6 separate regions of the Mus musculus genome follow, and regions 2, 3, 4, 5 and 6 are each reported to be linked to region 1. The links are microRNA targets in miRTarBase. Many come from high-throughput screens and were not tested one by one. Region 1 holds a microRNA gene; each other region holds the end of a gene's coding sequence. Distances are from middle to middle.
Evidence for each region. The annotated mature microRNA mmu-miR-466f reads ACGUGUGUGUGCAUGUGCAUGU and lies in region 1 at 1,475-1,496, opposite strand. An mRNA with a match to its seed (bases 2 to 7 or 8) in the 3' UTR can be bound and repressed. Matches are read on the target gene's strand: a 7mer-m8 pairs with bases 2 to 8, a 7mer-A1 pairs with bases 2 to 7 and ends in A, and an 8mer does both.

Region 1 (5,090 bases):
CCACCACATCATGAGGACATGTACTAAAGGGTCGCAGTTGTTAGGAAAATTGAGAGCCGCGGTTCTGCTCTAAGGGAAAAGCAGGCAAATGCTGGTAAAGAACTGGTGGGGTCATGAGCTGGAGCAGCCACTATGAACTCAGTGGAAGTAAGAGTTTGTCGTTCATGTGATCCTGCTGTGCCCTTCTGGGCATACAGCCAACGAGTGAAGATCAGCCTACCACACATACCTGCATGGGCAATCGCTGACTCATGCGGCCAATCCAGGCATCCATCAACAGATGAGGCTACAGAAAAGACTCAGTGGAGTTTCACTCAATCATGTAGCATGCAGTCAGGATGTCTGCAGGAAAATGTCTAAAGGTGGAGATCATAGCAACGCTAAGTGAAACAAGCCAGTCATCACAGACAGGCTCTCTGTCTTTTTGTATGTGCACATGTGCACATAACAGGAGTAACAAACGGATGTGAAGCAGGAGAGGAAAACCCTGTGAATGTGTAAGCGGAAGAGAGTGCGAGAAACAAACCCAGAAGAGGGTGGGTGTGCCACAGCGCTTTGTGTCACATGAGCGAAAGCTATAATGAAACCTCTCGCTCTGTACAGTCGCTGTGTGCTCATGAGAGACGCATTCACAGACACACACGCCTACAGCTGATTTTTGATAGGGCAGCAAAGACAGGGTAGGCATGTCAGGCTCATCTGTCAACAACAGGGTTCAATAAAACAGCTTCAAACTGTACCTGAAAGAACTTGCGAAAATTGACCCACTGGGGCCCAATATAACAATGAAATATAAAACTAGAAGGAAGTGTCAGATACTTTATGATATAGGTCTAGATTAAAATGCGATGTAAAAATTACAAGTCAGGGGCTGGGGCGATGGCTCAGTTGGGAAAGTGAGTGTCCTCGAGTCTGAGGACCAATGTTGTGATCTCCAGCACCATTCAGAAGTCAGGCATGGCGGCCCATCTGTAACATTAGCTCTGAGTGGTACTGGGAGGAGCGATGCTGGGGCCTCCTGTCAGCCAGTCTTGATATGGGTGAAGAGCAGGTTCTCTGAGACTCCAATTCATAAAAACAAATAGAAAGAGACAGAGGAAGACACCCAGGGTCTGACCTATACCCATTTACAAATACATGGAGACACTCACACACACACACACACACACACACACACACACGCACACACACACACACACACACGATCACATGCACACACACGCATGCACACACACAGTCACATACAGGGATACACACATGCACACATACATGCACATACACAGATACACACATGCACATGTGCATACAACATACAGAAATATACCCATATACATACACATGCCGACACATGCACATACACTCACATACAGAAACACACACTCACATACATACACATATGCACATTCACACACAAGTAGACACACAGATATAGATGCACACACATGCATGCACACACTCACATACAGATACACACACATGCACATGCACACACACGTAGACACACAGATGCAGATGCACACACTCACATACAGATACACTCACATACACAGATACACACATACATGGATGAACAGATACAGAGATACATACACACACACAGATAAACAGGATGACAGACACACCTACACACACACAATGTTAACCACAGCTTCATGGGCACTGGCAAACAGAATCTTGCACTTGGCCATGAGGACATGGGTGGGCATTTACTGTTCAAACGTGGATGGATATAAAATATCAAAATGAGGGCTCTGAGCAACAGGAGTTAGAGAAACAGGATGCTTATTTAATTAGTTGTAACAAGATGTTGCAACTCTACTTCAGTAGCTGTAAACACCCTGCATTCCCCCTGGAAAACATCAGGAGCTGAGGGAGAGGACTTAGCACGTAATGTGATTGGATCATACGTTTGTTTATTAGGCCCAGTCTCAGAAATGAGGATGTATGTCAATCAAAACCTAGCATTGAACAGGACATACTTTGCACATTTTCTGTTAAGGAGGCCTGTGATGGTTTGAGTATGCTTGACCCGAGGAGTAGCACTATTAGGAGATGTGCCCTTGTTGGAGCAGGCGTGGCCTTGTTGGAGGAAGTGTGTCACTGTGTGGGTGGGCTTTGAGTCACTCCTCCTAGCTGCCTGGAAGACTGGTCTTCTAGCATCCTTCAGAATAAGGTATGTTCCTTCTCCAGCGCCATGCCTCTCTGGATGCTGCCATGCTTCCTGCTGCGATGATAATGGACTGAAGCTCTAAACCTGTAAGCCAGCCCCAATTAAATGTCCTTTAAAAGGGTTGCCTTGGCCGTGGTGTCTCTTTACAGCAATGGGAAGACAAGGGCTCACTGAGACTTATTTTTCAAGTCCCGTTGAGATCTCTGTCTACCCCAGACCCTTCCTGAAGTGTTTATTTGTCCTTAGATTTCCATGACCCTCCCGTCTGCATGAAGGTTTTTTTTGTTACCTTTGAGTGATGGGCATAATTTATCAGAAGCTACGAGGACTGCTCGATACTGGGGAAATGCCCCTGCTCGCTGCTCGAGACATGGTTCTGCCCATTGGCACAATAGCTGTGTTGTTGGGGCTGCCTGGGTTTTGCCTGGAGTGATGTGTTTAATAAGGAGGAAGGCACTATCCGCATTTTAGTTTGTGTTTTAGGGACAAGTCTCAGGTGGCAGAGACTGTCTCAAATTCATATAGAGTCCAAGACTACAAAAGGCCCCTGTCTCCCCACCGACCCTACCCAAAGAAAAATAAAAACACAGAAAACTTAAGGCCAACGTTCTCCAGAGGAAGGACTTGCAGCGCATCTGGATTGTTTTAATTTTATTTTATTTTATTTTTTCCTGTTACCACTCCCCTTAAATAAATCTCAGGTTTAAGGAGGTTACTCAGGAGGTCAGATCCACTGTTCTGTCTTTGAAGTTGGGATTCCCCCGACTTCAGCAATGCTGTTCACGGTTCAGGTATGAGAAGGGTTTTAAGGGAACTTCACTCTAGAGACTTCTAGCTCTCAAGCGCAAGTTGCCTGCTCCGTAATCAGCTTTGCCATCTGACTGCTGTATCAGAAGGTATTCACTTAGCAGTAATTAAGAGGAAAAGCTGATTTTTATTGGTTCCAACTGTTAAAGAATGTTTGCCTCGCACCCTGGCAGCTGCGGTGCACCAACGGGGCAAAGGCTGTCTTCGGCTGCCACCTAGCGTCCGCCTTCGGAAGCACGGACACTGTTTCCCCTTCGCTGAGGCCAGCAAAGGGGTCTGTGAAATTCCCCGCTGCTCACAAAGGAAAAATGATTTCCCTAAAAGCCACAGTGCTTTTTAGAGACCTTGGCCGCGGTCCAATTTAGCTTTACAGTAGGGGGGAGAGGCAAGAAGAGAAATGAGCCGTTTGATTTTGTGTTGCTGAATGTATTTTAATAAAGATTTTGAATGCATGTTTTAAGTAAATTCCCAGGCGCTGCAGGGCAGCTGGACATCACGAGAGGAAGAGGAGCTAGTGTAATCCAGAGGAACCCAAGTCACAATTACAGCGTTCACTCTTTCCTCATTTACAGTTCATGAAGGAAGCAGTGCCGTCTCGCTTATTTCATTGTTCATCTGTCTTCTAAATTCGAGTATTAGAGCATCGAGCCACTCTGAGGACGAAAAAGAAAGCAGGCACGTTAGGAAAGCCCCCAAATGTTCTGAAGCACCAGGGAAACCAAACGATTGCTCCCAAACAGCCCGTGAAATTGTCACAATTACCTCCCGAAACCACAGGGTTCTCCACGTTATTTTTCTCTCTTCCCAGCTGACTCAGAAGGAAAAGATCCAGGGATCTCTCTCAATTTAAACTGCAGGGTGGGAGGAGGCTGTCCCGGCGTGGTGCAACTGCTCTGTGAAGGATCTAACTTCAAGGCACCCGTGGCCTGTGACCCGGAGAAGGAGTTTGCAAAGTCCTAAGCCTAATTTCCAAATTTTGCACTTGAGAAAGCGGAAGCTCTCAGGAGCTGAGCATCTCTGGGCGATTACACAGCTGGTTAGAGCCGGAGCAGGCTTCTCACTGGGGTGTGCTCTCCCCTTCACTGCCTTCTCTCAACTCAATATTAATATTTATGTGCCCTATGCATGAACATACTCTGCCACATCCTACAAGACAAACATACACCTTCTAGGAGTTGGAGGGAATACGTTCTCTCACACATGCACATAGAGGAAAGCAAAGCATCCCAGCTTATAAAACTGTCTGGATTTAGAACAGATCATATCTAAAGCACCATCATGATTTCTGTGTTCTAGAACCCGAGTGTTTTCAAGATGTTTGAACAGTTCAGGGACCTTTTGCTCTGGCAATAGATTCTTCACTACAAGTATAATATATATTTAATAATATTAATATATGACAAAGATTCAAGATTTATATATATATATATGTATATATATATATATATACATACACACACACACACACACACACACACAGAGAGAGAGAGAGAGAGAGAGAGAGAGAGAGGTATATACATCCATAGGGAAATTCAGACATTAGGGCAAATTATTAATTAAATGTTCTCCTGTGTTCTAATATTTTCCATAAGAATACATGTTTAAAGTCTGAACAATTTTAATAGTAAAAGTAATTGGTAATATTGTACTGAGCCAATCCTAGTCTACTATTACTATAATTTTATAACAGTTTAAAGTGTCTCAGAGTCTATCCCTGACTCCCCCCATGAACCGCTCTCTCTCTCTCTCTCTCTCTCTCTCTCTCTCTCTTTCCCTCTCGGCCATCTATCTCCCACACTGTTCTGGCAGCCTAGTCAGATGAGCTCTGGTACCTGCTGCTAAGGCTTCCATTTTCTCACAGGAAGTATTAGATTACAGAGAGCCTAAGATTGTGTGTGTGTGTGCGTATGTACACACACACACACACACACACATATATATACATATATATATATATATGTATATATATATATATAATGTATGTCTAAATATGGCACTTAAATTGGTTACAGAAAATTCATTTTCTTTTTCTTGGTACATTCTGCTGCTCTTCATTTTACAGTTGGCATTGTTAGATAAATCTCATGATTTCCTTGGATTTCTCCTATAATTT
Region 2 (5,000 bases), 42 Mb from region 1:
GAGGAGCTGTTCTGTGCTGCGGGGCAAGCAGGGCAGGGTTGCGCGGAAGTGGACGCCATCCTCAGAGACATCTCCCAGCGCTGCGAGGAAGCCCTGCACAATCGTGACCCTAAGCGGCCCAGGCTGCAGCCAGAGCCAGACAGCAAGGACTGCAGCTCCAGGAACCTCCACGGCGCCTTCCGAGGACTGCGCACCGACTGCAGCGCCAGCTCGGTGAATCTGAGTCACAGTGAGCTGGAGGAAGGCGGCTCCTTCAGCACGCCCATCCGCAGCCACAGTACCATCCGCACCCTGGCTTTCCCCCAGGGCAAAGCCTTCACCATCCGGACAGTCACCGGTGGTTACAAATTCCGCTGGGTCCCCAGCTGATCTGGGATGTGGCTTCCCCTAAAATACTGCCCTGTGTAACAGCAGAGAGAAGCGTCTGCAAGCAAGTGGGCATAGCTAGAAATGTTTCCCACATCTGGTTCCCAGAATTCTCTGCAAGCAAACGCTACTCGGAAACTTTATTATATATTTTTTTTTTTTTTCAGAAACAGAAGTGTCTTGGTACCTGTGCAATGAAAAGTTCTGCTCCGAAGCCCCATATACTGCTTGCTTTTGCACGGTGAAATTGCGTGTATACACACGCACACCTGCGGCTAAGCACACGCCACAGTCAAACTTAGATGTATTTATTTTTTAGCGCTTTGTTTGTTTGAGGCAGGTCCAGGAGGCACATAGAGCAGCTGGACACAGACTTGCTATTATGATTGCTTCTGTTTCCTTCTGCTTCCATCTCCTGAGTGCTGGGTTAGAGGTGCTCACCGCCATATTTGACTGTTTTAGCCTTTTTGTAAGAAGAGAGAACAGTGCAAAGGAATGATGGGGGGTTCCACTAGAGAGGAATTATCCAATCACAGCCATTTAAAGGCTTGGGATTCAGAACCCCGGTATCTGGGTGTTTTGGCACATCACCCAATTCCCCTCTGTCCTCAGAGTACACCTACCTCCTAGCTGTGTTAACTACTGGAAAATGCTATTTCAGTTGGAAAAAACAAAAACAAACAAAAAACCACCACCACCAAAACTCCGGAAACAACTTGGCAGTTGTGGAGCAAGCTCACACAAGGATGCAGTGGTCATCCCAGCACTTGGGAGGCAGAGGCAGGCGGATCTCTGAGTTCCAGGCCAGCCTGGTCTACAGAGTGAGTTCCAGGACAGCCAAAGCTATGCAGAGAAACCCTGTCTTAAATAGCAAAGAAACAAAACCAAGCAAAGCTACACAATTAGGCAAATGCTGATGCAGGATAGGTGCTAAACACAGTTGTTTGAAATAATCATCCTATGATTTTGTAAGAGTTGGTTTGCGTGCTTGCTGCTTTTGGAGAGGGCTTGGACTTCAGAACCCAGCCAGCATCCATATCAATGGCTCAAATGGGAAAGAAACTCCAGTCCTGGGGTGGGGGTGTGGTTATCTGACATCATCCTCTTCTGGTTTCTGTGGGCATCTGTATACTCCGGAGCTACACACACACACACACACACACACACACACACGCACAGGCACAGTCACATAAGTAAAATTCTTTACAAAAGGATTTATGGTAATGTCTCAATGTATTCAGCTTTATCAGTGCAAACAGAACCACCTCCAAACCAACTTAGTTAAGAAGAAAGGCTGGTTGTTTTAAGCAAGTGGTCTGTACTCCGCAAACTGGGGGCCCCTCACCATATTTCACATTACATGACTAGTTCTTGTAAGCAAAATGTAGTGACCTTCCCTCAATTTTTCTCTCCCTATTGTTTGTGGTTCTCTTCCCACCCCACACTCTGTTCTGAAATCACACAAATGGAGGACGTCCTGTGCGATTTCTCTCAACCTCCACATGCTCGTTCTGAGGGTTCTTCCTGCTCCTGGGGCTGGGCTGGGCAGGCCTCCAGATGTACTGCACCACAGTGCATAGCTGGCTCTTCAGGCTGAGTGCACAGATCAGGTAGCAGGTGGGTTGGTTAAGGCAGCAAGACCTGCTCCTCCAGTTTGCCGTGTGTACTGTTATCTGTACTTAAATAGCCATTTCGAAACAAAAAAAATTGATAAAATAGACCATGTTTCCTCATATTTTGCCTAACAAATGGACTGAAAACGTGGGTTGTTCAGCTCCCCCCCCCCCATAGGCTCAAATATGCAGTTAGCACAGGTCAAGATCAAACAAAACAAGCTTCAAAATAAAAAACAAATCCTTTTAAATCTGTCACAACGAACAATGGCTCTCCTGCTCTCTGATACTCGTAATGCATTACCTTCAGTGGCCATAAACTACAGACAGTGTATGTAAGTTTCTTTTATGCCCTGTGCGTAGATTTTAAATAATCACCTTGCTATCACCTTTCACTTTACAGTTCTATAACTGCCATGCTAGTGGCCAGCAGCTCCATTTCCTGCTATTTTAAAAAGTACATATTTTATTTGTTTTTAGAAATTGATATTTATACAATGTATTTTTTATCAAATTCACTTCCTATTCCTCCCTAACTCCACTGAGATCCACCCCCACTCCTTACCCCATTTTAACTCTGTCTTCCTCCTCCTCTTCTATAAAACCCATCAAGTCCAATTATCTTTCATTCTTGTGGGAAAAAAAAGCTCTCTTTGGAACAATTGGCACCAGGGACCAACTTATCATCAGTTAACAGTAGAATCTAGAAACTAGTCTTCTAACATATTTATTGAAAACTGATGGCAATCTCTTTATCTCACATTCTAAGAAAACAATCAAAGAGCAGAATATGTAATTTCTTTTCTAGGCAGAGATACATATGTGACAAACAATTCAAGTGCTGGCAAGGACATGAAAAAGGACAAGGGGGTGGTCTCAGCTCAGGCTGCAGTACAGGATAGGCGGGGAGCACGAGCAACAAATGTTTCTGTTTTATTTTGTTAGATTGTTTTTTTTTAAGATTTATTTATTACTATATCTAAGTACACTATAGCTCTCTTCAGACACATCAGAAGAGGGCATCAGGTCTCATTACGGATGGTTGTGAGCCATCATGTGGTTGCTGGGATTTGAACTCAGGACCTTAGAAAGAGCAGTCAGTGCTCTTAACCGCTGAGCCATCTAAACAGATATTTCACAGTTCTGGGTCTGAAAGTTCAAGATCAAGGTGGTTCCACAGGCTCCCTTTCTTGGTTTGAAGATCATCATTTGCTCACTGGAAAGATCACAGGGCTGCGAGAGTTCCAGTCTTTTCCTAGAAGAGCTCTAACCCCACTACTGATGTTACACCACACCGCTCCCTCCTCCCAATCTCCAAATACAATCACACTGGGAACTAAGACTTACTTAAACATAGGAATTTGGGGGAGGCCTAGGTATTGAGTCCACAGCAGATGGCGATTTGGGGAAGACTGGGATGGTGCTATTTTAGATGAGGTGGTCTGGTCATAAAAGATTCCTCTAATAAGGTAATATTGGAGGGCTTCTGTTATGGATCAGTCTGTACAGTGTTTGTCTGGCAAGCTTGGTTGGGGTCAGCGATTTGGTTCCCAGATCTGCCATCAAATCGTAACAAGAGACAACTTCAGCAGAGACCGGAGTAAGCTTGCGAGTGAACGGTATGCATATCTGGGTGGAGAGTATTCTAAGCAGAGGGAAAAGGATATGTAACCGTCTGGTTTGGTGAGCAGTAGGCTGCTAGTGGGACTCGGGCTGAGAGAACACAGGGCTAGGCTCTGAGTGGAGGATTAGCACGGCCTCTCAGGACCTTGAGAAGACTTTGGGATCATCCTGAGTCAATTCATTAGGGGCATCCTCCTGCTGAAGAGTCACATGACCACCTTAACTTTACCTCAGTGGTGGAGGTCGAGGCCTTCCCTGCATGTTAGGCAAGGATTCACTAAACTATGTAGTTTTTTGTTTTTGTTTTGTTTTGTTTGTTTGTCTGTTTGTTTGTTTAGATAGTCTTATTGAATATCCCTGGCCAGCTTGGAACTCCCTGTGTAGACATGCCTGGCCTCAACTCCCTGTGTAGACGTGCCTGGCCTGAACTCACACAGCTCCACTTTTCTCTGCCCCCCTACCCAGCTGAGGGCTGGGATTTAAGACACACACCACCACACCCAGTTATAGTTACATTTTAATAACAATAAGTGAAAATTTAAAGTTAGCTTGCAAACTGATGGGTTTTATTATGGCATTTTCATACAGGTTGTTGTGTCCTGTTTTTATTCGTCCCCCACACATCTCCCACCCTCTTCTCTTACTGGTTTCCTTCCGACCTGCAAATAATCCTAGGTTCTGCTTTCCTATCACATGCACTCCTCTGCCCGCTTCCTTATCTAAGATCTCCTCCCTCCCTCCTGTGGCCCTTCATCATCATATGTGAACACACATGAACGAACCTGCACACATGTGCATTTACTTCTGCATCTTTGGTTTTGTTTGTTTGTTTGGTTGGTTGGTTTTGTTTTTCTCGAGACAGGGTTTTCTCTGTGTAGTCCTGGCTGTCCTGGAACTCACTTTGTACACCAGGCTGACCTCAAACTCAGAAATCCACCTGCCTCTGCCTCCTGAGTGCTGGGATTAAAGGTGTGCGCCACCAAGCCCGGCATCTGTTTTTTTTTTTTTTTTTTTTGATTGTTTGTTTTTTAAACGTTTATGTTTATTCATGTCTTTTCTGGTAATTCCACCAGAGGTTCCTTTATTGTTGAGAATAGTCTTTGCTATCCTAGGTTTTTTTAATTTTTCCAGATGAATTTGCAAATTGCCCTTTCCATCTCAGTGAAGAATTGGGTTGGAATTTTGATGGGGATTGCATTGAATCTGTAGATTGCTTTTGGCAAGGTAGCCATTTTTACTATATTGATCCTGCCAATCCATGAGCATGGGAGATCTTTCCTACTTCTGAGATCTTCTTCAATTTCTTTCTTCAGAGACTTGAAGTTCTTATCATACAGATCTTTCACTTCCTTAGTTAGAGTCACACCAAGGTATTTTATATTATTTGTGACTATTGTG
Region 3 (5,090 bases), not on the chromosome of region 1:
TCTGTTTACCCCTAATCCTCGGGCTTCCCAAGGCTACAAGTGAAATGTGAAGTTTTGTGTGCTTTTTAAAATTTGGTAGTAAAAGTAAATGTATTATATGTTTAATTTCTAGGAATGAATTGCAATTACTTATGGTATTAATCCTGCCAAGAAACAAGTCCTTTGTGCCATTTTTAAATCTCACATTACCACTTCATTATAGCTTTTTTCTTAGCATATGAATTAAGAATTTATTCAATTTGGTGTTTGCTATCTGTACAGCAATTGTTATACAATAGTGATATCACAAGTCATACTGCAGTAGTTCCTCTGGGATGGCACAGGCCCAGCTGCAGTAAGTCATCGAGGAAAGAACGTAGTCGGTGTAGATTTGTGTGTGTGCCCCCACCCCCAAGTGACTCCTTTATGATGCAACAAATTATGCCATTATTTAATACAGAAATTATATATAAATTTCCAGACATCTAAAAGAATTGTGGATTTCTCACTATGGCACTGATGGATATAAATTCCCATGAGAGGAAAGCCTATGAGTCCTCCCGTAGGGAGCACGGAGGTCTCAGAGCGAGCTGGCGCACTGAGCCGGTACGGCAGCGTGCACTGACGTCTGTTTCTCTTTTGTCTCCTGCTGGTCTCTGTCTGTGCAGATGAAGGCAGCGAAGTCGAAAGTGAGACGGATGAAGATCTGGATGATTCTTCAGAGCCTCGGGCCAAAAGGGAGAAAACGGAGCTGAGCCAGGCGTTCCCAGTAGGCTGCATGCAGCCTGTTCTGGAGAGTGCTGTGCAGCCCAGCCTCCTGAACCCCCTACACAGCGAGCACATCGTCACAAGTACACAGACCATCAGGCAGTGCAGCGCCACAGGCAACACCTACACTGCAGTCTAACAGCAGGAAAGCAGAGTTTTCCAGCTTACTCTAACCCCATTGATACTGGGCTTAAGCTGAAATTTTAACAAGCCTGAAGGTTGACTGTTGTCAAAAGTCTATCTGTGCTGAACATTACCTTTTTGGAGTTGTGAAATGGAATGGGTGTATGTATTTTTCCAGGTCTTTTTTTTTTTAACACAAATTATTTGCCTTTTAATAATAGAGCCCCTCCCCCCTTAGTTTCAGGTGTCAAGAAGGATTTATACAACACTTAATGTCATTGTTTTTGTTTTCTCATAATTAAAAAGTAATTTACATTTTGTAGCTTAAAATATTTTATTGTTGATTGTTAGTCTTGGTGTATGATTTTATGTGTAAGTTTTTTAATTAGATGCACTTCTGTGAAATATCAAAAGAAATGAATTTCTTTGATTTACACTGGAGGCATGCCCATTTGGCAGCAGATGCATCAAATTTGCTTCTGAAAGGTGCTTTTCATTGGACAGAACCATAAGACACTATTTTGATAACATTTTGGAGTATGGAGAGAATACAGAGCGTTTTTATTATAGTGGTAGAGGGTTGGGAAGGTCATCTATTTTTCTCTGAAAAAAATTGAGCTGTGCATTTATCAGTTCAGGATAAATGACAGAATTGCAAGAGATTATGCTAATATGTACATAATTTGTGTACATAATTATTAAACCACGTTAACAATGCAAGCTTCCGTTAGACATTGACTTTTAACTATTATTTGTGTACCAATTCCTCTGTTTAAAGACTACTGATTCTGTATTGGAACCACTGTACAGATGCATTCTGCTGTTAAGTGGGGCTGTTATAGTTAGATACTGCAGCTGAAAAAATGACTTGACTTTTTTTTTAAGTGTACATGCTACTTATACTGAGCTGGACATACAGGAAACCATTCCATTTGGATGACTTTCTTTTATTCCAGGTCTTTTTTCTAATAGTAGTTCAATATGCTGCTATTATAAAAGAAAATGTATAGAATGCAAGGAATGTAGCGACCTGCATATTGTTATTTCCTGGTTTCTAAAATACATGGATTTAAATTTTACACAGAACCTGAAGGCAGTGTGACTGGCACACCTCACTGTTGCTGACCCCGACTCTGTAGGATTTGGATAGGTGGCTGGATGGACCATTGCCATTGGAGAACGTACATCAGGGATCATCGTACCTCGGCTATTACATGGTGCCTTAAAACAGAACTGAGCTAAGGTTTAGTAAGGTTTATTTTGTTTGTGTGAATAACTCTTCAATCCATTCGGTAACGTGTGCCTGTCATGCTCAGATTCCTGAAGTAAAGACAGGTCACATGTTCTTCAAGGGGAATTTAGGGGAAATTAAGCAAAACAAAGAGACAAAAACTTCAGTTTCTCTCTGAGGGACTGTGAGTGGACTTGTCTAGGTTTTATCCTTGGAGCTGAATATCACTTTATAACAAATCAGATTGCTAAGGGTGTGGACTAGCAGTTTTCATCCAAACATGTTACATAAAGATCATGTGTTGTAGACCATTCTTATTTAGCTATAATTCTAGAAAGTTAACAGGATTAGCAGGTACTTATTGAAGTGCATCTTTTCAGTCTAAATGTCTGTCTGTGTGTCTGGGTGTCTCTGTGTACACACAAACACACACATACATACACACACACACACACACACACACACACACACACACGTGGAACTGGAGTCTGCTACAGTCAGAAGGTGAGATCCTAAAGAGCACAGCTCATCCCATTTTACTTTGCATGAAAAGCCAAGGTTCTTTTAACTCAAGCTGTCAACAGCAGCAACAACATGGGGCATAGCCTTTCATTTAAGTAATTATAAAATTAAATCAGTGCAAGTCAATAAGGAATTAAGTCAATAAAGCCAAAAAATGGAAAGGAAAGCACAAAATGACACACAGATCACTACTGAGGCCATGTTAAGCTGAAGACTTCATCTTTCCAGTTGGATTGGGTGAGGGGTATAGTTAAGGAGAAGAGACTGTGCCAATCTGGAAAGTTAAAAATAGCAAATGGCTTATCAGGAAACACAGTCTATTGAAACTGTTATTGCCTGATTGTCTCAAACTTCTGAAAATCAACAGCATTTCTTAAGTGAAATTTAAATGTCTTACATATAATTTTAATGGATTCAGATTTTGTATGGATCAACCTACTCACACACAAGACTTCACTGGCATCCAAGCATTACTTCATTACTGAAGATCCCAAGGCAATGAATTTGCAAGCCCCTCCCCTCCATCATCCATCATAAGCTACAAAAGACCATGGACCTACTTCATTGTGAGTTAGAAAATGTTTACACATAAAATTCAAATCATAAACTAGCTCTCTTCATCTTGCCTCTCCCTCCTGAGGTCTTTCAGTCTCCTGTCCCTCCTTGTCACCCCAGACGACATCATGTCTGTATTGGACCAAATGTATTTACTGGTTTCACTGTGTTTATTGGTTGACTTTTTAAAATGTATTTGTATCATTGTTTCATTTAATTTAATTTTGGAGATATTTGTATCATGAGAGGAATCAGCTAACAATTGACAGACATAGATTCATGAGAGGGAGGGACTGAATGGCCCTCCAGAATTCAACATTTCTTCCAGTTGTTCATGGTTTGTTCCAAATTAGGACAGAGTAGAAATTAACAAGTATTGTTATGGTTGAAATTGACTCCAAAATATTCTGAACTTTTAGAAATATTTAGGAACATTAATCCTTTTACACCAGTGTAGATAGCTCTAACCAATACACAAAAAAGAATACCCATGGCTTATGATACTTCTAGCTATTTGTAGTATATTGTGCACACATCAATTTTGGATTTGAATTGTGAACTATATTAGAAAACAAAAACAGTAATTTATGTGCAGGCAAAATTTATAACAATCACATTTGTCTTAGTTATTTAACATTTTGTTTCTGTTTTTCCATTTATTGAAACTGGCTTTTCTAAATAATATCAGCCACCAACAGTCTCGTAGTAGACGTGTTGACACAACACACTTTTTAAGGACTTGCTGGTATTTCTTGGCATTATAATAATGCCTGTCTTGAAATACATGTATGTGAATCAAGTACTACACTCCTGGTACAGAGAAGGGAAGGGAGGTGCATGAGCTATCAGTGCGTTTCAGAGGAGATTCCCATGTAATACACTTGAGTCTCATAGGTATAGTTTTATATCGGCAAATACTTTGAGAATTATAGCCAAAAGAGCTACACTTCCAAAACCAGTGAACAATGGATGAAATGGGTGAAACTTCTCCTGGGAACACAGGGCCCAGTTTTATATTTCCCCTTTGGATTTACCAAGTTACTAAGAACTTCGGGACTTGCGTCCAAATCTTGACTGTATGACTCTTACTGCCTTTTTTGAAATCTGCGTTCCTTTTTGTGACTTTTTTCCTTGTACTGTATAGCACGGTTCATGCACCTCTCTTTAGATGGTGTACTTTAAAAACAGAAGTAAAATACACAAATGGTTTTCTCGCTGCATACCTAAAGTTAGTAGTGTGCAACATTAGCTGCCTTTAATTTGTAGTAGGTGAGCGAGAATGAGCACATTCTTGCAGAATGCTGTAGACGTCAGTCAGGAGTGAGCACAGCTCCCATGCTGTGGTCCTGGGCCTTTTTACATGGACACACTCTCTACAAGTGCTAAATGCATTTTCAGTTTGGAAAGATTATTATCACATTATTATCATTAATATTATTATTTAAAATGTCTAAGATAATGCTGTGCTTGAAACATCTGTGTGAAAGAAAACACGTGTGTCGCTGTGATGGTCCTCGTTGCATGGACATAGTAGAAAGTCAAAAGCTTGACGTGTTACGCTTGCACACGAGTTAAGGCAGTGGTTATAGACAACATACTGACTTTGTCATAACCTCCCCTCCTCAAGTTCTTTTGAACAAATCACGATCATCCAGAAACTAAAATCAGGACTTTTCTGATCTCCGTGGATCACAGCAGAGTTTGGGGGAGGAAGGTTGTCAATGCAGTGTTGTTCAACATCGGGCTGTGACTGGATCAGAGCAACAACCTCCATGTACATGGTAGAACAAACTCATTAACAGAACCCTAGTATTTCTGTGAGTCTGGTGATTTTAAAAGACTGGGACTGAAGCATTGATTCAGCGCTTAGTTCTAGTATTAGAAAAGCCCTTTGCTGTAATGCCTTGTATTA
Region 4 (5,073 bases), not on the chromosome of region 1:
GGAGATGGTTGCACAACACAGTGAATGAGCTAAATGCCACTGAACTAGGTACTTCAAATGGTGCCGGTGATGGAACTGGGTCTCAGGGTAGAGCCCGTGTCTAGCTTGTGTGAGCTCCTATGCACTAGTCACTCTTAGCACCAAAAGGAAAAAATGAAATGGACAATTTAATGATATGTGGACTTTGTATACATATGGATTTTTTTCCATTTCATAAAAAATGTTATGGGCTAGAGATGTGGCTCAGTGGTTAAAAGCATTTATTCTTATGCAAGACCTAGAACCCACCAGAGTTGGCATCTCACCATTGTCTGTAACTCTCACTCCAGGGGATCTGATGCCCTCTTCTGGCCTTCATAGGTACCTGGCATGCACAAGGTGCACAAACACACAGAAAGACAAAACTTTTTTTTTTTTTTTTTTTTTGTGGTTTTTCGAGACAGGGTTTCTCTGTGTAACCGTGGCTGTCCTGGAACTTACTCTGTAGACCAGGCTGGCCTAGAACTCAGAAATCTGCCTGCCTCTGCCTCCCGAGTGCTGGGATTAAAGGCGTGCGCCACCACGCCCGGCCTCAAGACAAAACATTTATACACATAAAATAAACATTTAAAAATTTTTGGATTTGGGCTGGTGAGATGGCTCAGTGGGTAAGAGCACCCGACTGCTCTTCCAAAGGTCCGAAGTTCAAATCCCAGCAACCACATAGTGGCTCACAACCACCCGTAATGAGATCTGATGACCTCTTCTGGTGCATCTGAAGATAGCTACAGTGTACTTACATATAATAAATAAATAAATAAATAAATAAATAAATAAATCTTTAAAAAAAAAAAAATTTTTGGATTTATGTCTGTGCAGTTCATGCCTGCCTCATACCCAGGAAGTCAGAAGGCACTGGGGTAGCTGGAGTCACAGGCAGTTTCAAGCTACCAGGTGGGTGCTAGGAATTGAACCCCAGGGAGTATTCTGGAAGAGCAGCCAGTGTGTTTATGTTTGTTTGTATGTTTGTTTGTTTGTTTTTTTAAGATTTATTTATTTATTATATGTAAGTACACTGTAGCTGTCTTCAGACACTCCAGAAGAGGGCGTCAGATCTTGTTACAGATGGTTGTGAGCCACCATGTGGTTGCTGGGATTTGAACTCCGGACCTTCGGAAGAGCAGTCGGGTGCTCTTACCCACTGAGCCATCTCACCAGCCCTGTTTGTTTGTTTTAAAGGGGGCATTGGAGCTGGTGAGATGGCTCTGTGGGAAAAGGCACCACCAAGGTTGACTGACCTGAGCTCCATACCACATCGTGACATGCTGCCACACAAAACAAAGAGATAATTACAGCAGGGCTGGGGATTCGGCTCAGCTGGCAGAGCGCTTGCCTAGCTCATCAAAGTCTGGGGTCCATCCTCAGCACCACCTTAACCGGACAAGTGTGAGGATGGAGAGGTGGCTCAGGGGCTAAGAGCCTTGGTTGTTCTTGAAGAGGACCTGGGTTTAAGTCCCAGCCCACAGAGGTCTGTATTGCTAGTTCCAGTAGTTCCAGGGGAACAGGATCTCTTTTCACTTCCAGGCACACACACACACACACACACACACACACACACACACACACACAGAGAGAGAGAGAGAGAGAGAGAGAGAGAGGGAGAGAGGGAGAGAGGGAGAGAGGGAGAACAGAGAACTCAGAGAAACCCTGTCTCGAAAGATCAAAACACAAAACAAAACAAACAATGCCCCCCCCCCCCCCCCCCGCCCCCAAACCAAAATGAAACAAAACTTGAAAACAATAATGAGCAGGAACTAGGGATCTTCACCTGGTGGTGCAGGCTCGCCTGTAATCCCCATGCTTGAGGCTGAGGCAGGAGGGTCAGCAGTTCAAGGCAGCCTGGACTAAATGAGCCCGTGTTTAACTAAAATAAATGACTCAATAGAGTGGGGCTGGAGAGATGGCTCAGGTAGGACCGTGTAGCATGCTGCTCTTTAGAGGGCCCAAGTTCCGTTCCCAGAATTTGGTGGAGCTGGTAGAAGTTCTTGCTGCTTGGAGAAGGCTGGACCGTGCGTCTCGAGTCTTCCTGAGCTGCATGGCACTGTCCCCTTGTGCATGCAATTGCTGCACAAAAGTACGTGCTAAGCAACCAGAGATCCAGGCTGAGGCTGGCGCTCAGCTATCAGAGTGGTTGTCTAGCATGCCCAAGGCCCCGGCTTTCATCCTCCTAGGGAAGAAAGCCTGGTGTGGAGGTGCGTGCCTGTCATCCCAGCACTTGGGAGATGGAAGGCAGGAGGATCAGGAGTTCAAGGCTAGCCTAAAAAGAAGGAGAACAAACAGACACGAGGCAATGTTTTTATTTGTAGCTTTATTAAGTCCTTTTACTTTCTAAAATATGATTACAAGAAAAGAATACTTCATTTACGTGTAACACTGTCTTCATGGATGTACCGTGGTCACAGAGTAGAAAGAAAACTGGAGTATAGCGGGAAGGAGAGGAGAGACTGGTGGGTGTTTGGCCCTGGTGGCCCCGACAGAGAAACAGAAAGCAGCAGCGACAGAAACAGGGGCTTTTCTGAGGAGCGTGTGCTTTGGGTCATAGCTGATGCTTCCAGAACCTTAAATAAACTCCCTTGCTGGCTACAAGGCTGGAACTCAGGGCTCAGCTCAGAGCACGACCTTTCAAATGTGCCCTAGGCTGTGAGCATCCAGAGACACCAGCAGCTGTCTGTCCTGAAGTTTGGTTTTCTGTTTCATACACGTGCAAAGACTCCATCATGACATCTACCCACCAGCCAACCCAGTTTCTCATCCATTGCTCATTTATCCATCCACCCACCCCACACTCATCCGTCCACCCATCCATCCACCCACCTGTCCATCCATCCATTCATCTATCTGTTCATTCATCCATCCATCTATTCATTTATGCATCCATCCACCCACCCACCCACTCAATCAGCCATCCATCCATCCACCCATCCATCTGTCCATCTTATTTTCTTATGCCAACCAAGCCTCTATGCCTTAGACAAACCCCTTCTACAAAACTCAAGCGGAGTAAGACTCCATCAAACCAAGAGACCCACTTGTCTAGAAGAGTGAACACTTTCCTTTAGTCCATGAGTCTCAATGCTGCCCTGCTGAGGTTTGGCGCCAAGGCCCAGTGGGTTCAGCTGTGATCTGGATACGACAGGGAGACTTGAGAGGACAAAGTCCTCCCTATCGCAAGGCACATCTAGAAGTTGTTTCCTTTTTCTTCTTTATGAAGAAAAGAAACAAAGAAACAACAACAAAATCCCCCCACGAACCACACTGAGATCCTGGGGCCAGAAAGGAACCCCAGTTAGAGAAAGGTGCAGCCTGTCTGTCTCTCCTGTCACCAGCAGGAGCTCCAGGGCATTAAAAACAAACACACAAACATAAAACTACTCTTTTGTCCCTTTGGATTTCAGCAAAGCCTGTCACTTTAAGCTAGTTCTGGGAGTGCTCTGAGGCCAGCCAGCTCTTAATCAGGAACATATGGGCTTCATAGCGAGCGCCTGTACTTGGTCAGTATCACAGTCTCTGTTTACTCTCCTTTGAGGAGGAGGTTCTGGGCTGTGATGCTGGGAGTCACTCCGGAATGGCCTTTTTTCTTTTTTGTCTGTAGGTCTGAAAGTATTTCTAGAAGTAGTCTCCTCTGCCAAGCACTCCCCGTGGGGAACAGGGAGGTCAGCATAACTTCTTGTAAGTTGGTCATTTCCAAGTCACAGGACATCAGCTATCAGCTGCAAGATGACAAGCCCTGTGCATGTGTGCGCGCGCGCGCGTGCGTGTGTGTGTGTGTGTGTGTGTGTGTGTGTGTGTGTGTGTGTGTGAGAGAGAGAGAGAGAGAGAGAGAGAAAGGAAAAAGGCAAATGAAAACACTGCTTTCTGACTGGAGGCAGGCGGCTAAGGTACGGCAATCTTATTCTGTAAAGCAATCACAAGAGACACCCCAGGCCCTGAAGACACAGTCTGGAGGTGGAGGGCAGTGGACAAGACCCTATTGTACACTAGACAATGAAATGAGGTGACAAAGGGTGGTGAGCAGGCTTTGTGGAGACCTGCTGTAAAGATGAGGAGACAATAGACACTGTAACATTCCAGTGACATTCAAATTTAGCAACTGAATTCTGACCCCTCCCATCCCCTAACAATGACTCAAGAATACAGTATTTTCTCTTCTTGCCCCCCCTTCCTCCTCCCATAATTGCCGGCTGATTGTTCTCTATGTTCTTTACAAGAAACCCACACCCAAGGCGTTGTCAACTGGTGCCAACTGGGAGGAGAATGTAGCTTGGCTTTCTGGCTTTGAACCCAGGGTGCTGGGAAAGGCTTCCAGGAGCTTGAGCCTGGTAGATGTCAGGGCTCCCTCAGGGAAGTTCAGGGGCTGAGGAATGCCGAGGCAGAATGGGACAGAGGGATGGAGGAGGGACGGTTTGATGCGTGGCTTGTGGCTGGTGGGTCCTGGGGGACTCACTGGCTCCTCCCTGTATTCACTCCTCGGCTGAAGACGAAGCCGGACTCTCGTAGTCTGACATGGGAGCGAACTGTAACGATAGGCAGAATTCTTTCTTGGCATACTTTCAAATCCCTCTGAGGAGATTTGCTGTGGATGCAGAGGGAAGAAGGGTAGTCCCTGCCTTCCAACACACCAGACACAGTGACAGACTGTCACCCTGTTCTTGTAGAGAGAAGGCAGAGGAAGGAATCAAAGCGGAGTCCAGGAACAAGAGAGGGAGACCCCTGCACCAGGATCAAGGAGAGCGCCTGGGAGAAGGGCCAGGGCAGAGGCTCTATCTGGAGATAGGACTGGAGGGCCTTGAGAAAGTCTGTCAAGTGATCCCAGCCACTTAGTAAATGGGATGGGGGTGGGGGTGGACAGTGGCCCACTCCCCCTCCATATATACACACAGATGATAGGATCTCACAGTGTAATCCTGGCCTGCCCAAACTCACACCCCAGCTGGAGGAGGATCATAATATAGTGAAATGTACTTACCTTGAAAAGCAAACAAAACCCAAAATAATGTTTTAAGCAATTGAATGTTAATGCAGAGGGTTCAAGAG
Region 5 (5,090 bases), not on the chromosome of region 1:
GTGTTCCCCTGTACTGGGGCATATAAAGTTTGCAAGTCCAATGGGCCTCTCTTTCCAGTGATGGCCGACTAGGCCATCTTCTGATACATATGCAGCTAGAGACACGAGCTCTGGGGGTACTGGTTAGTTCATATTGTTGTTCCACCTATAGGGTTGCAGATCCCTTTAGCTCCTTGGGTACTTTCTCTAGCTCCTCCATTGGGAGCCCTGTGATCCAATAGCTGACTGTGAGCATCCACTTCTGTGTTTGCTAGGCCCCAGCATAGTCTCACAAGAGACAGCTATATCTGTGAGCATACAGTGCCTAATGTCACAGCACTGTGAGCATGGCAATCATTCCCTTGCTCACAACACTTGGTAATGTCAGTCTTTAAAACATAGCTATCTGTCATCTGTCAACAATTTCTTCCTGAGGACCTTTCTGTTTGCACCTTGAAGAACAACAGCTCTTGCATGTTATGGCTGTCGCATTGAGTTCTCTCTCACCCTCTAATCTTCTCCATCTCTGCGCTTCAGGCGACTGTTTCCTGATGGTCAGTGGTTGTGAGAATCACTTGAGAGTTTTCCAAAATATTCAAACCCAAGTCCCATGAACATATTGTCTCTTCTTCCCCAGGAATGGACTATAGATTTATGCATGTTGAAAAAATTGCCTAAATGATGTACAACCTTAGCTAAAAGCCACAGCCCAGCTTCTACCTACTCTGTCAGGGAGCCTCCATCGTGAACCTTGTCAGTTTCTTTTCCCACTGACGTGATAAGAGATCAAGAAAAGCAACTTAAGGTTTATTCTGGCCCATGGCTCAAGTCCATCATGGTGGGAGGGTAAAGGTAGGAGGAGCTTGAAGCAGGTGGTCACATCCTGTCCACACTCAGGAAGCAGGGAATGAAATATGCTTGGTGTCACTCATACCTTCTCTCCACCTACACAGTCCTGGAGACACCACACAGAGAGGGGCCCTCACAAGGTAGAGTTTGTGAATGGGGCCTGAGCACTTTTAACAGATTTCTCAATGATTCCAGCATGTAGCCATATTTTCTGTTTTCCATTAGATTTCTCTGTAAACTCCTTTGGTGCTAGGGATCAAACACAGAGCCCCACCCTCCTGGGCAGGTGCTTTGTCTCTGAGCTGCCCCCTCAGCTCTTAACTTCTCTGTCTTGTTTGAGACATTTGTCCCTTTCAAATTTTGTATAATTGTTATTATCTGTGTCTTCTGTCTTAGGGATTTCTGTTCCCTAGAGAAAGGACCCATCTTCTCATTTCTGTATCTTTCATGAAAATATACATTGGCCATCAGGGAGACATTGTCAACCACACACAGTTTGTGTCCTGCTTGAATCTATTGTCCTCACTTGGATGCTCAGTGTGGAACTGCTTATGACGAAGGGTGTGGGTAACCACAAGGGAGAAGCATGCTGCTTGTCGTCTTGGGCACAGCACTGGGACGAAGATTTATATGTGTGCGTAGGCTAGAGGGGATCGGGTTGTAGGGGATACATCTGATGAGAATTTAGGAATCACTTGAGGGTGTGATGGGGAAGTGAAAACATACTTGACATACAATATGTGTATGGTTGAAAAAAACCCATTAGGGGACCCAGTCTGATGCTCCTGTCTTTAATTCAAACACTTGGGAGGCAGAAGCAGGCAGATTGTTGTGAGTTTAGGGGAAGCCTGGTTTACAGATGAAGTTCCAGGTCAGCCAGGGCTATATAGGGAGACTCTGTTTAAAAAACAAACAGCTTTAACACACACATAAAATAAATGTAAAATAAAGGAATTATTGTGCGGAGGGCCATGAGCCTTTTTAAATGAAAAATTATTTGAAGGCAGGTGCTATAACTTCCAGGAGGAGGTAGGGGCTTGAGAAATACATGCAACAGCCATTGGCTGAGATCTTCGAGCTGAGCGGAGGGTGGGTTAGGGGACACCGAAAGCATCTGAGAACTGACTGGCATCAGGGCAATATGTTGTTGGTGGTGGATGCAGCATCTCTGACCGAGGTCTGAGATGATGGAAAACTCAATGTGAGGCTAGCACACCTTTGACCCCATCCCAGTGCAGTCTGCGCTGCCTCCAGTGTCTCGGGTGTGGAAATGGGGTGGGGAAGGGCAGGCCACACTTGCATTTGCATGGCTTGCAAATGAAGGACATGAAATGATAGAGTAACACTCAATGGCATTAATTTGTGCAACTCATTCAGGTCAGAGGTTTAAGAGGACAGACAGGGCGTAGTAACAAGAAAGGAACAGGAGGTTCTGGAGAGAGTTCAGTGTGGAGATTGTTCTGAGTTGAGGGCTGCAGTACTGCCTTTGAGTGGCTGAAGCCTTGGGGATTCCACCACAGTAAACCACTCCTCCCACCCAAGTGGCTCCAGACACTCAAAGGCAATAATGCAGCTTTCAACTCACAAACAACTCCACATGTTCCCTCCCCCTGAACTCTCTCCAGCACCTCCTGTTCCCTTCTTGTTAGTATTCTGTGTCAGTTTCTCAGTTGTAGAGCGTGTGTCTGGCACATGCAAGACCCTGGCTTCCATCCAAAGCATGGCAAAACCAGAAACAAATAGACAGAAAACCCCACAAAGTGCTATCAGTGATATATAATACATTTTTATTATGAACATAGAGCAAATTTACAAGTAACTCAGATTTGTCTTAAGCCGGGCAAAATTAAATAATCCAGCATTGCGTGGGTGAAGCAAAATATACACAGGCTGTGTTAGGACTGAAAGAAATCCCTGAGTAGGAGAACTAATTAATTCTCTCCAAAGCCTGTTGGCTTGGCGTGAGACCAAACACTTGATATCCAATACAACCTTTGCTTGACAGGCACAGAGGGTGTGCCTTAGCTCAGAAGGTTCCTGAGGTGACTGTTTGCCTCTCCTCCTGCTGCTGCACTCATCCCTGGTGCCCTGGTGGGGAAGGCAGGATTCAAGGCTACAGAAAGGCCAGGGCCAGGTGAGAGGACCCTGCTAACAGCCCACTTCCGGTGGAGCACTGGTCCACTGGAAGTGCAGAGCATTCCAGGCTGTAAACACTGCCTCTGGCATGGGTGACTGCATTCCTTTAAGGACACACTTTGAATGAGCCAAACAGACAGTAGCAGAGGCCAAGGTTTCCTGAGAGTGCAGGGCAGACAGAATGTCCAGGTAGCCAGGCCTGGTGGCCAGGGCTGCAGTCTGAGCAGGTGGGGTGCTGCAGAAGGTGTTACTGTGGGATTGAAACCTGCACAGGCTCCATGCTGGAACTCTGTCTCAAAAGAAGGAAAAAAGTCAAAACGAAAGGGAAACAGAGGCAGAAACACTGCAGAAGGGCAGCTGGAGGCTGGTGCTGGGTTTCCAGAAACCTAGCTGGGTCCCTCTTTGGTGGGGATGTGGAAAGCTTGTTATTATTTTATTTTTTGAAGGTGAGAACAGTTTTTGTTAGAGTTTAAAAGAAACACAAGAAGGCAGAGAAGCTGGAGATCTCAGAGGAAGAGTGTCCAGGCTCTGGCCAGTATCTGAAAGACAAGATAAAGAGATGGAAAAAGGGAAACCAAGGCTTTTCTTGACTAATTCAGAAAAGCAGGAGGCTTAGCCTGACCCATGACAGTGGTACTGCAAGGGACTGCCTCACTGTTCATTTATTTATTTTTGGTTTGGAACTCATGATCAAAAGGGCTTGAGGGGCTAAGGGAGACAGAAATCTAGTGGCCCTAAGGCAAAGTGATCAGCTCGCATACTGAGAGGCAATTCAGTAGCTACAATTTTCAAATAGTGGATTGTCTCAGAAAGAGGAAAACTCCAATACCTCCAAATATGGCTTCTTTTCAAATAATTTCAACACTCTCCGAAGGTTAGCTCTGTGCTGCTTTTTCACACTCCAGATGTCTGTCAGTCCAAAGTCACCAGCTCTGCTTTTCTGGGCACCTTCCTGGTGGATGTTAGAGATGCTGTCTTTTCTTCTGAATCCTGCCTAGCAGTTTGCTTGGAGTTGCTGACAAAGAGCCTCTCTAGTTGCTGTGAGTGGATTTTCTGGAGAAAGGCTCAGAGAAGGGCTCAGGCGTGAGGGCACAAGGTTCAGAGACTCGAATGTCCCAGATGGGTAAGCATGACAGTTGTCGGGTGTGTAGATTGCCCATGGAGGTTTGATCTTCTCATGTATGGTGGCTTCCAATCAGCCTTTAAAGATATGGGACTGGCCATTTCCTGCTTCTGGTTTGTTTTGTTTTGTTTTGTTTTGTTTTGTTTTGTTTTGTTTTGTTTTGTTTGGCGTAAGCACTTAGGTGACCTCCAAGGTTTATGGAAATTCAAGTCAGACTCTGATAGGGCAGGACTTGGAGTTGGGAGGGGAATGAAGGTGCTCTGAATAGGTCAATTTTCAACAATCTGGGTCAGGAAAGTGAAAGGGTGAGAAATTTTGATACCTCACTCTCAGCCAAATTTGAAAGCCTAGAAGGGTTGAGTTTTCTGTAGGCTCCAGGATCCACCTTTTCTTCTATAGACACTGAAGGAGTCAATAGAGTGAATGCATGAGTGTGTGTGTAAGTGTGTGTGTGTGTGTGTGTGTGTGTGTGTGCGCGCGCGCATGTGTACGTGTGTGTGTGTGCTGAGACCCTCCAGTGAGGAACAGAATCCGGGAATGCATCACTGGTGCAGCCAGCAGGACAGACGGACAGATTATGCTCACTTCTTTTTTACTTCTGAATAAACTGTTTCTGTGGCTCTTGGAGAAGAAGGGGCTGAAGTTGGCCGGTTGGGTTGCTGGGAATTGAAGTTCAGGACAGTGTATGCGACGTCATCCACCTGAAAGGATGAGAGTTGATCAGTGACTCAGCACCACAGGCCTGAGCCTCACCTTGCTGCAGCGGTGGGAGAGGGCTCCTGTCACTCACAGTCAGACATCCAGATGGGCTACAGAGCAGAATGAAAGCCAGATGTGTGCGAGGATGTGCACTGTCAGACTGCCTTTGCCCTCTGTAGGAAATGTGACAGCAATGTGTGTCTGGGGAGGAGGACAGGTTTGTGAAAGTTCCCACTGTGAAAGTGTCCTTATGACTTAAAGCACTCTTTGGTCTATGTGTGTACTCTGTTGAAAGGCTTAAATG
Region 6 (5,090 bases), not on the chromosome of region 1:
TACTGGGCTGTGCCCACTGATACAGTGTCTGGGCAGTCCTGTCAGCAGCAACAGGGATAGGGTTCCATTCTGTTAATTTGTAGCAGCCCAAGGAATTTCTTTAAATCTTTTTTATTTCCATTTTTAAAAAAAATTGTGTGCTTTTTCTCTTTTTTTAAGATTTATTATTATATGTAAGTACACGATAGCTGTACGTATACACTATACGCACCAGAAGAGGGCACCAGATCTCATTATGGGTGGTTGTGAGCCACCATGTGGTTGCTGGGATTTGAACTCAGGATCTTGGGAAGAGCAGTCAGTGCTCTTACCCACTGAGCCATCTCACCAGCGCCCCCCCCTTAAGATTTATTGTTTATATATGTAAGTACACTGTAGCTGTCTTCAAACATATCAGGAGAGGGTGCCAGATCCCATTACAGATGGTTGTGAGCCATCATATGGTTTCTGGGTTTGAACTCAGGACCTCCAGAAGAGCAGTCGGTGCTCTTAACCGCTGAGTCAACTCTCGCCCCAGCCCTGCTCACTCAGGCCCAAGTGCGTGCCTTTTCAGAACAGGGCTTCTCCTGACCTGAAACTTGATTTATAGATCAGGCTGGCCTTGAACTCACAAAGATCCGCTTGCCTCCGCTTCCCAAACGCTGAGATTAAAGGCATGCACCACCATTTATATATAATTTTAGGTATATGAGTGTTTTCTGCATGCTGTGTACCTTGGCATGCAGTGCTTGCAGAGACCAGAGGAGGGCATCAATTTCTCCAGAACTGGAATCTCAGATGGTTGCTAGCCATCATGTGGGTGCTGGGATTCGAACCTCTAGAAGAGCAGCCAGTGCTCAGAGCCATCTTTCCAGCCCCAAATTTCTTTAAATCTTTTAGGGACCTTGATTCAGGTAAAACCAGATCTTAGGCTTCAATGCAGAAAAGTATCTCAGGACAAGCCGATGAGAAGCAGAGTTTATCAAAAGTAGAAAGTGGGCTGGAGGCTGAAGCTGCTCACTTGCCCAGCCTGGGTGAAACCATGGGTTCCATCACCAGCACTTCTTAGTGGTAGAAGGCAGGCAGATCTCTGTGAGCTCAGAGGCCACCCCGTCTATATAGAGTTCTATGCCAGCTATGGATAATGAGACACTGTACCAAAACAACAATAAAAACAAAAAGGAAGCCGGGCAGTGGTGGTGATTTCTGAGTTCGAGGCCAGCCTGGTCTATAGAGTGAGTTCCAGGACGGCCAGGACTACACAGAGAAACCCTGTCTTGAAAGAACAAACAGGGGCTGGTGAGATGGCTCAGTGGGTAAGAGCACCCGACTGCTCTTCCGAAGGTCAGGAGTTCAAATCCCAGCAACCACATGGTGGCTCACAACCATCCGTAACAAGATCTGACTCCCTCTTCTGGAGTGTCTGAAGACAGCTACAGTGTACTTACATATAATAAATAAATAAATCTTTAAAAAAAAAAAAAAAAAAAAAAAAAAAAAAAAGAAAGAACAAACAAATGAACAAAAAACAAAAAACAAAAAGGGAAGTCACCAAAGCAAATAAGGAACTGCACAAGAGTGTGAGCAGCTGAGGACAGAGAATCTCACTGGAGGGGGAACTGCTAAGTCCTTTCTTTAAAAAGCACATGGAGCTTTGATGCTCAGAGGGCAAAGTGATCACCACACAAGTGTGAGGACCAGAGTTCAAATCCCCAATCTCACAAAAGTCAGGAAGCACGGCAGCTTTCCAGTAATCAGCACGCAGGAGGTAGAGACAGGGGCTCCTGGAGCTAGCTGCAGCCGCAAGCCCTGGGTTCAGCGAGTCTCTGCCTTAGCTTACAAGGGGAAAGCGACCAAGGACGACACTGAAGGTTATTCTCAGGCCTCCACATTTACGTGTACACCTGTGCCCCTACATGTACAAACATGCAAACACACCTGCACTACACACACAAAATGCAGACCTTGAAAAGAATTATCCATATTTTCTAAGAAAAGTTGGCCTCTGCATGAACAAAGTACACATACACAAGCAAAACACACACACAAATGAAACAAGCGGAGAGTGGTGGTGCACGCCTTTGATCCTAGGTATAGACAGAAAATCTGAGTTCAAGGCCAGCCTGGTCTACATAGTTGAGATCCAGGATAGTGAGGGTTATTTAGAGAAACTGTCTAGAATAAAAAATGGGTGAAATAAATAATTTTTATTAACCATTATACATAAGATATTTCAACACACAATGTCTTGCATTTGATATTGTCTCTAAAGCCTGGTGATTTTGCTTCCTTGCAGTAGGGAGAGAATCTGAGGCCTGATGACATGACAGGCAGGTACTCCACTAAACCAGGCCCGAGGGGTTCTTGGCAAGTGCTCTTCTATTGAATTGTGGCCCCAGCTCCTCACTGGTGGGCTCTGGGTAAGGGTTAACCCACAACGCTAGGCTCTAACCTTTGCCACTGTACTTCCGAATTCATGTTTAAGAACATGGGCATGTGAGTGCAAGGCCCAGAGCTCAGAGGCATCATTTGCCCCTGGAGCTGAGGTTAACACATAGTTGTGAGCCATCTAATATGGGTGGTGCTGGGAACCAAACTCTGGTCCTCTGCAGAGAGGTTCAGGCTCCTAATCACTGGACCATTCCCCAGCCCGCCCAGTGTGCTTTTAATTTCCAACTTAGAGTCATCTCAGTGGAAACACTATTGCATACCATGGTTAGGACGGAGACGTATATATCCAACTCCCCTTTTAAACACTGCCTAATTATTGAACCCAGTAGTTTTAAAACTTAAGTTGAATCAAAAGCTTTGTTATGCTAGCTATACCTCAAGTGTGTACCACCATGAAAGAGTGCTGGGAAGTGGAAGTACAAAAGATTGGTTTGTCTCAATGTCCCCACATAGCACCACTGCCTAGACCTTGTTCTAAAAGCAAATACCCCCCCAGCCCCCCACCCCCCGATCTAACCAGGCACTGGGGCCAGGATGAGTGCACCGATGAGTCTAGAGCTGGACTGATGTGACGAGAGGCACTGGCTTAGAGAACAGAGTGAGTAGAACCCACCCCTGCCTCCCATGACAGCTAGAGGCCACGAACCCTGCACAAAGCTGCTATGTATGGAATTCATGCAGTTAACTGTCCCAAAGGCTGTCAGAACTAAGGGCGAAAGTCAAAACCCGCTGGGTGGTTGGTCCCATGTCATCTCTAATAGCCAAGCTCCTGGAAAGTGAGGGTAAACGCTTATACAGGTCACCAGAGTACCCCAAGCATCTTCCCCTACACTGCCATGGCCATTTGGGGGTAGACATGGTTCAGGCCACACAGGTGGCACAGGAGTGATGGTGGCTGCACCCCAAGGCCCAGAACCACTGCTTTTCTTCTGTCTGGGTTTCTGCTCCACAAAGTGCTGAGGACACCCTCAGCCTGCTGCCATGGGGATTCGGCACGAAGAGGAGAAGCTTCTATGGCAAAACCAGACATTTCTGAAATGGCTCTCATTTCTTGGTGCTCTTCTTGGGAGTTAAAAGTGAATCCACGCTTGGGAGGCAGAGTCAGGGGGATCACTGAGTTCAAGGCCAGTGTGGTCTACAGGGTGAGTTCCATGACAGCCAGGGCTCCACAGTGAGACACTGCCTCAAACCACAAAACAGCCTGAAGCCAGGCATGCGGAGTCCTGGCATGGTGAGGCTGGTTGCTTAAGTCAACCTTGGAGACATCACTGCAGGCCAAGTGCACACCCTTCCTCCATAGCATCCCCAGCCAGAGGTAAGGAAAGGGCACCCCGTCCACTCTTGTTCTTGGGGACCATGAGTAGACTGTGCCCAAAGGCACCTTATTACAAAAGCCATGGAGGGGAGAATACAGAGCAGACGGTGGTTCTTTTCTGTCACAGGACAGAATTTTCTGGAATACCAAGTCCTGGAGAGGTTTAGCACAGGCCAAAGCCACCACTGAGGAGAGTTAAGCAAGTCCTCAGGCCTTGAACCCTGCAGCTGTTTGCTATGGTAACCTAACCCACCCCAAGAAGTTGCTGGACAGCCTCGTGTGTGTGTGTGTGTGTGTGTGTGTGTGTGTGTGTGTGTGTGTGTGTGTATACACAAGTGGGTGTGTGGGTGTGGGTGTGAGGCCAGAGGTGAACTTCTGATGTCCCTCCACAGAAAGTGTCCACCTTGGTTTTTGAGGCAGCGTCTTTCTGGCCTGGAACTTTCCAATATGGCTAGGCTGCTGGTCAGAAAGCCCTGGAGATTTTCCTCTCACCACCTCCCAAGTGCTGAGATGACAAGTGTACACCAGTCACATCCAGTTCTGGGGATGAACTCAGGTCCTCATGCCTGTGGGGCAAGTGCTTTCCCCACTGAGCCATCAATTCACCGTAACTTGAACAGTCAATGGGAGACTCTTCTATAAAGACTCAGATGCAGAAGAAGCAGGAAAAGTGTTGGAGGACACGTCCCAAGATCAAAATCCAACAGGAAGGAGCTGGTGTGTGGCACCCACAGGAGACTCGCTGTCACTTCACTGTGCGCCTGGAAGAGACAGAATCCGTGAGTGACCACACATGTCAGAACTACCTAGAAGAGGTCTGTCATGAGAAACAGCCTTAGAGGAAACACAGGACATTCTAAAAATAGCTACTGTGGCCAGCTCTGGCCTTTCTTATGGAAGCACAGCCTGAGTCTCACATGCCATTGGGACTAGTACCTGAGCCGCTGGGCCAGCCAACTGACTCCCGATGGCTTCTGCTCAGCAGCTCTGGATGTAGAAGTCCTACAGAGAAAGTCAGATTTACAGTTATTCAACTTTCTTACCACATCAAGAGAGCCCACCCACTCATGTCTATGCACTTAGATAGTTGGGCTCCAGCCCGGATCACATACAGACAGTTTGAGAAGGTTAACTGAATTAAAAAGTATCTTAGCTGTCCTCTGACCTCCATATGCATGCCACAGCGCATGTGTATACTCTTGCCCCCAATGCAAGATTAAAAATAAATGGTGACTTAAGGGGTGGTAGACAGCTCAGTGGACACCTGCACAAGCCCGAGGACGCGTCTGAACTCCTGGCACCGTGTAAAGGTCAGGTGCTAGTGAGTATCTGCAATCCCAGGGGG

Region 2: the mRNA of Mcidas is a reported target of mmu-miR-466f. Seed matches in the 3' UTR shown: 7mer-m8 at 624-630 and 7mer-m8 at 1,534-1,540.
Region 3: the mRNA of Rfx3 is a reported target of mmu-miR-466f. Seed matches in the 3' UTR shown: 7mer-m8 at 2,571-2,577 and 7mer-A1 at 4,742-4,748.
Region 4: the mRNA of Kank2 is a reported target of mmu-miR-466f. Seed matches in the 3' UTR shown: 7mer-m8 at 3,794-3,800.
Region 5: miRTarBase lists Ceacam1 as a target of mmu-miR-466f. Seed matches in the 3' UTR shown: 7mer-m8 at 4,578-4,584.
Region 6: the mRNA of Zfand2a is a reported target of mmu-miR-466f. Seed matches in the 3' UTR shown: 8mer at 4,021-4,028.

What each region holds. Positions count from the first base shown.
Region 1 is chr13:71,103,514-71,108,603 of GRCm38, reverse strand. It overlaps Mir466f-4 (microRNA 466f-4), which reads right to left and starts at 1,515; the gene lies at 1,395-1,515. Gm40997 (a long non-coding RNA gene) reads left to right here and starts at 2,177. Exons shown (of 3, transcript XR_873655.1): 1 at 2,177-2,256.
Region 2 is chr13:112,998,816-113,003,815 of GRCm38, forward strand. Mcidas (multiciliate differentiation and DNA synthesis associated cell cycle protein) reads left to right here. Exons shown (of 7, transcript NM_001037914.3): 7 at 1-1,579. The coding sequence ends at 369. Among named protein-coding and RNA genes, the nearest start is that of Mcidas, 7.4 kb to the left of the region's middle.
Region 3 is chr19:27,764,251-27,769,340 of GRCm38, reverse strand. It overlaps Rfx3 (regulatory factor X, 3 (influences HLA class II expression)), which reads left to right. Exons shown (of 17, transcript NM_011265.3): 17 at 648-5,090. The coding sequence ends at 886. Among named protein-coding and RNA genes, the nearest start is that of Gm35697, 98 kb to the right of the region's middle.
Region 4 is chr9:21,764,452-21,769,524 of GRCm38, forward strand. Kank2 (KN motif and ankyrin repeat domains 2) reads right to left here. Exons shown (of 12, transcript NM_145611.4): 12 at 2,322-4,553. The coding sequence ends at 4,500. Among named protein-coding and RNA genes, the nearest start is that of Spc24, 6.7 kb to the left of the region's middle.
Region 5 is chr7:25,459,113-25,464,202 of GRCm38, forward strand. It overlaps Ceacam1 (carcinoembryonic antigen-related cell adhesion molecule 1), which reads right to left. Exons shown (of 9, transcript NM_001039185.1): 9 at 2,590-4,788. The coding sequence ends at 4,669. The region is part of intron 4 of 4732471J01Rik (RIKEN cDNA 4732471J01 gene); the gene reads left to right. Among named protein-coding and RNA genes, the nearest start is that of Ceacam1, 16 kb to the right of the region's middle.
Region 6 is chr5:139,469,049-139,474,138 of GRCm38, forward strand. Zfand2a (zinc finger, AN1-type domain 2A) reads right to left here. Exons shown (of 7, transcript NM_001159908.1): 6 at 4,682-4,747; 7 at 2,168-4,506. The coding sequence ends at 4,491. Among named protein-coding and RNA genes, the nearest start is that of 3110082I17Rik, 11 kb to the left of the region's middle.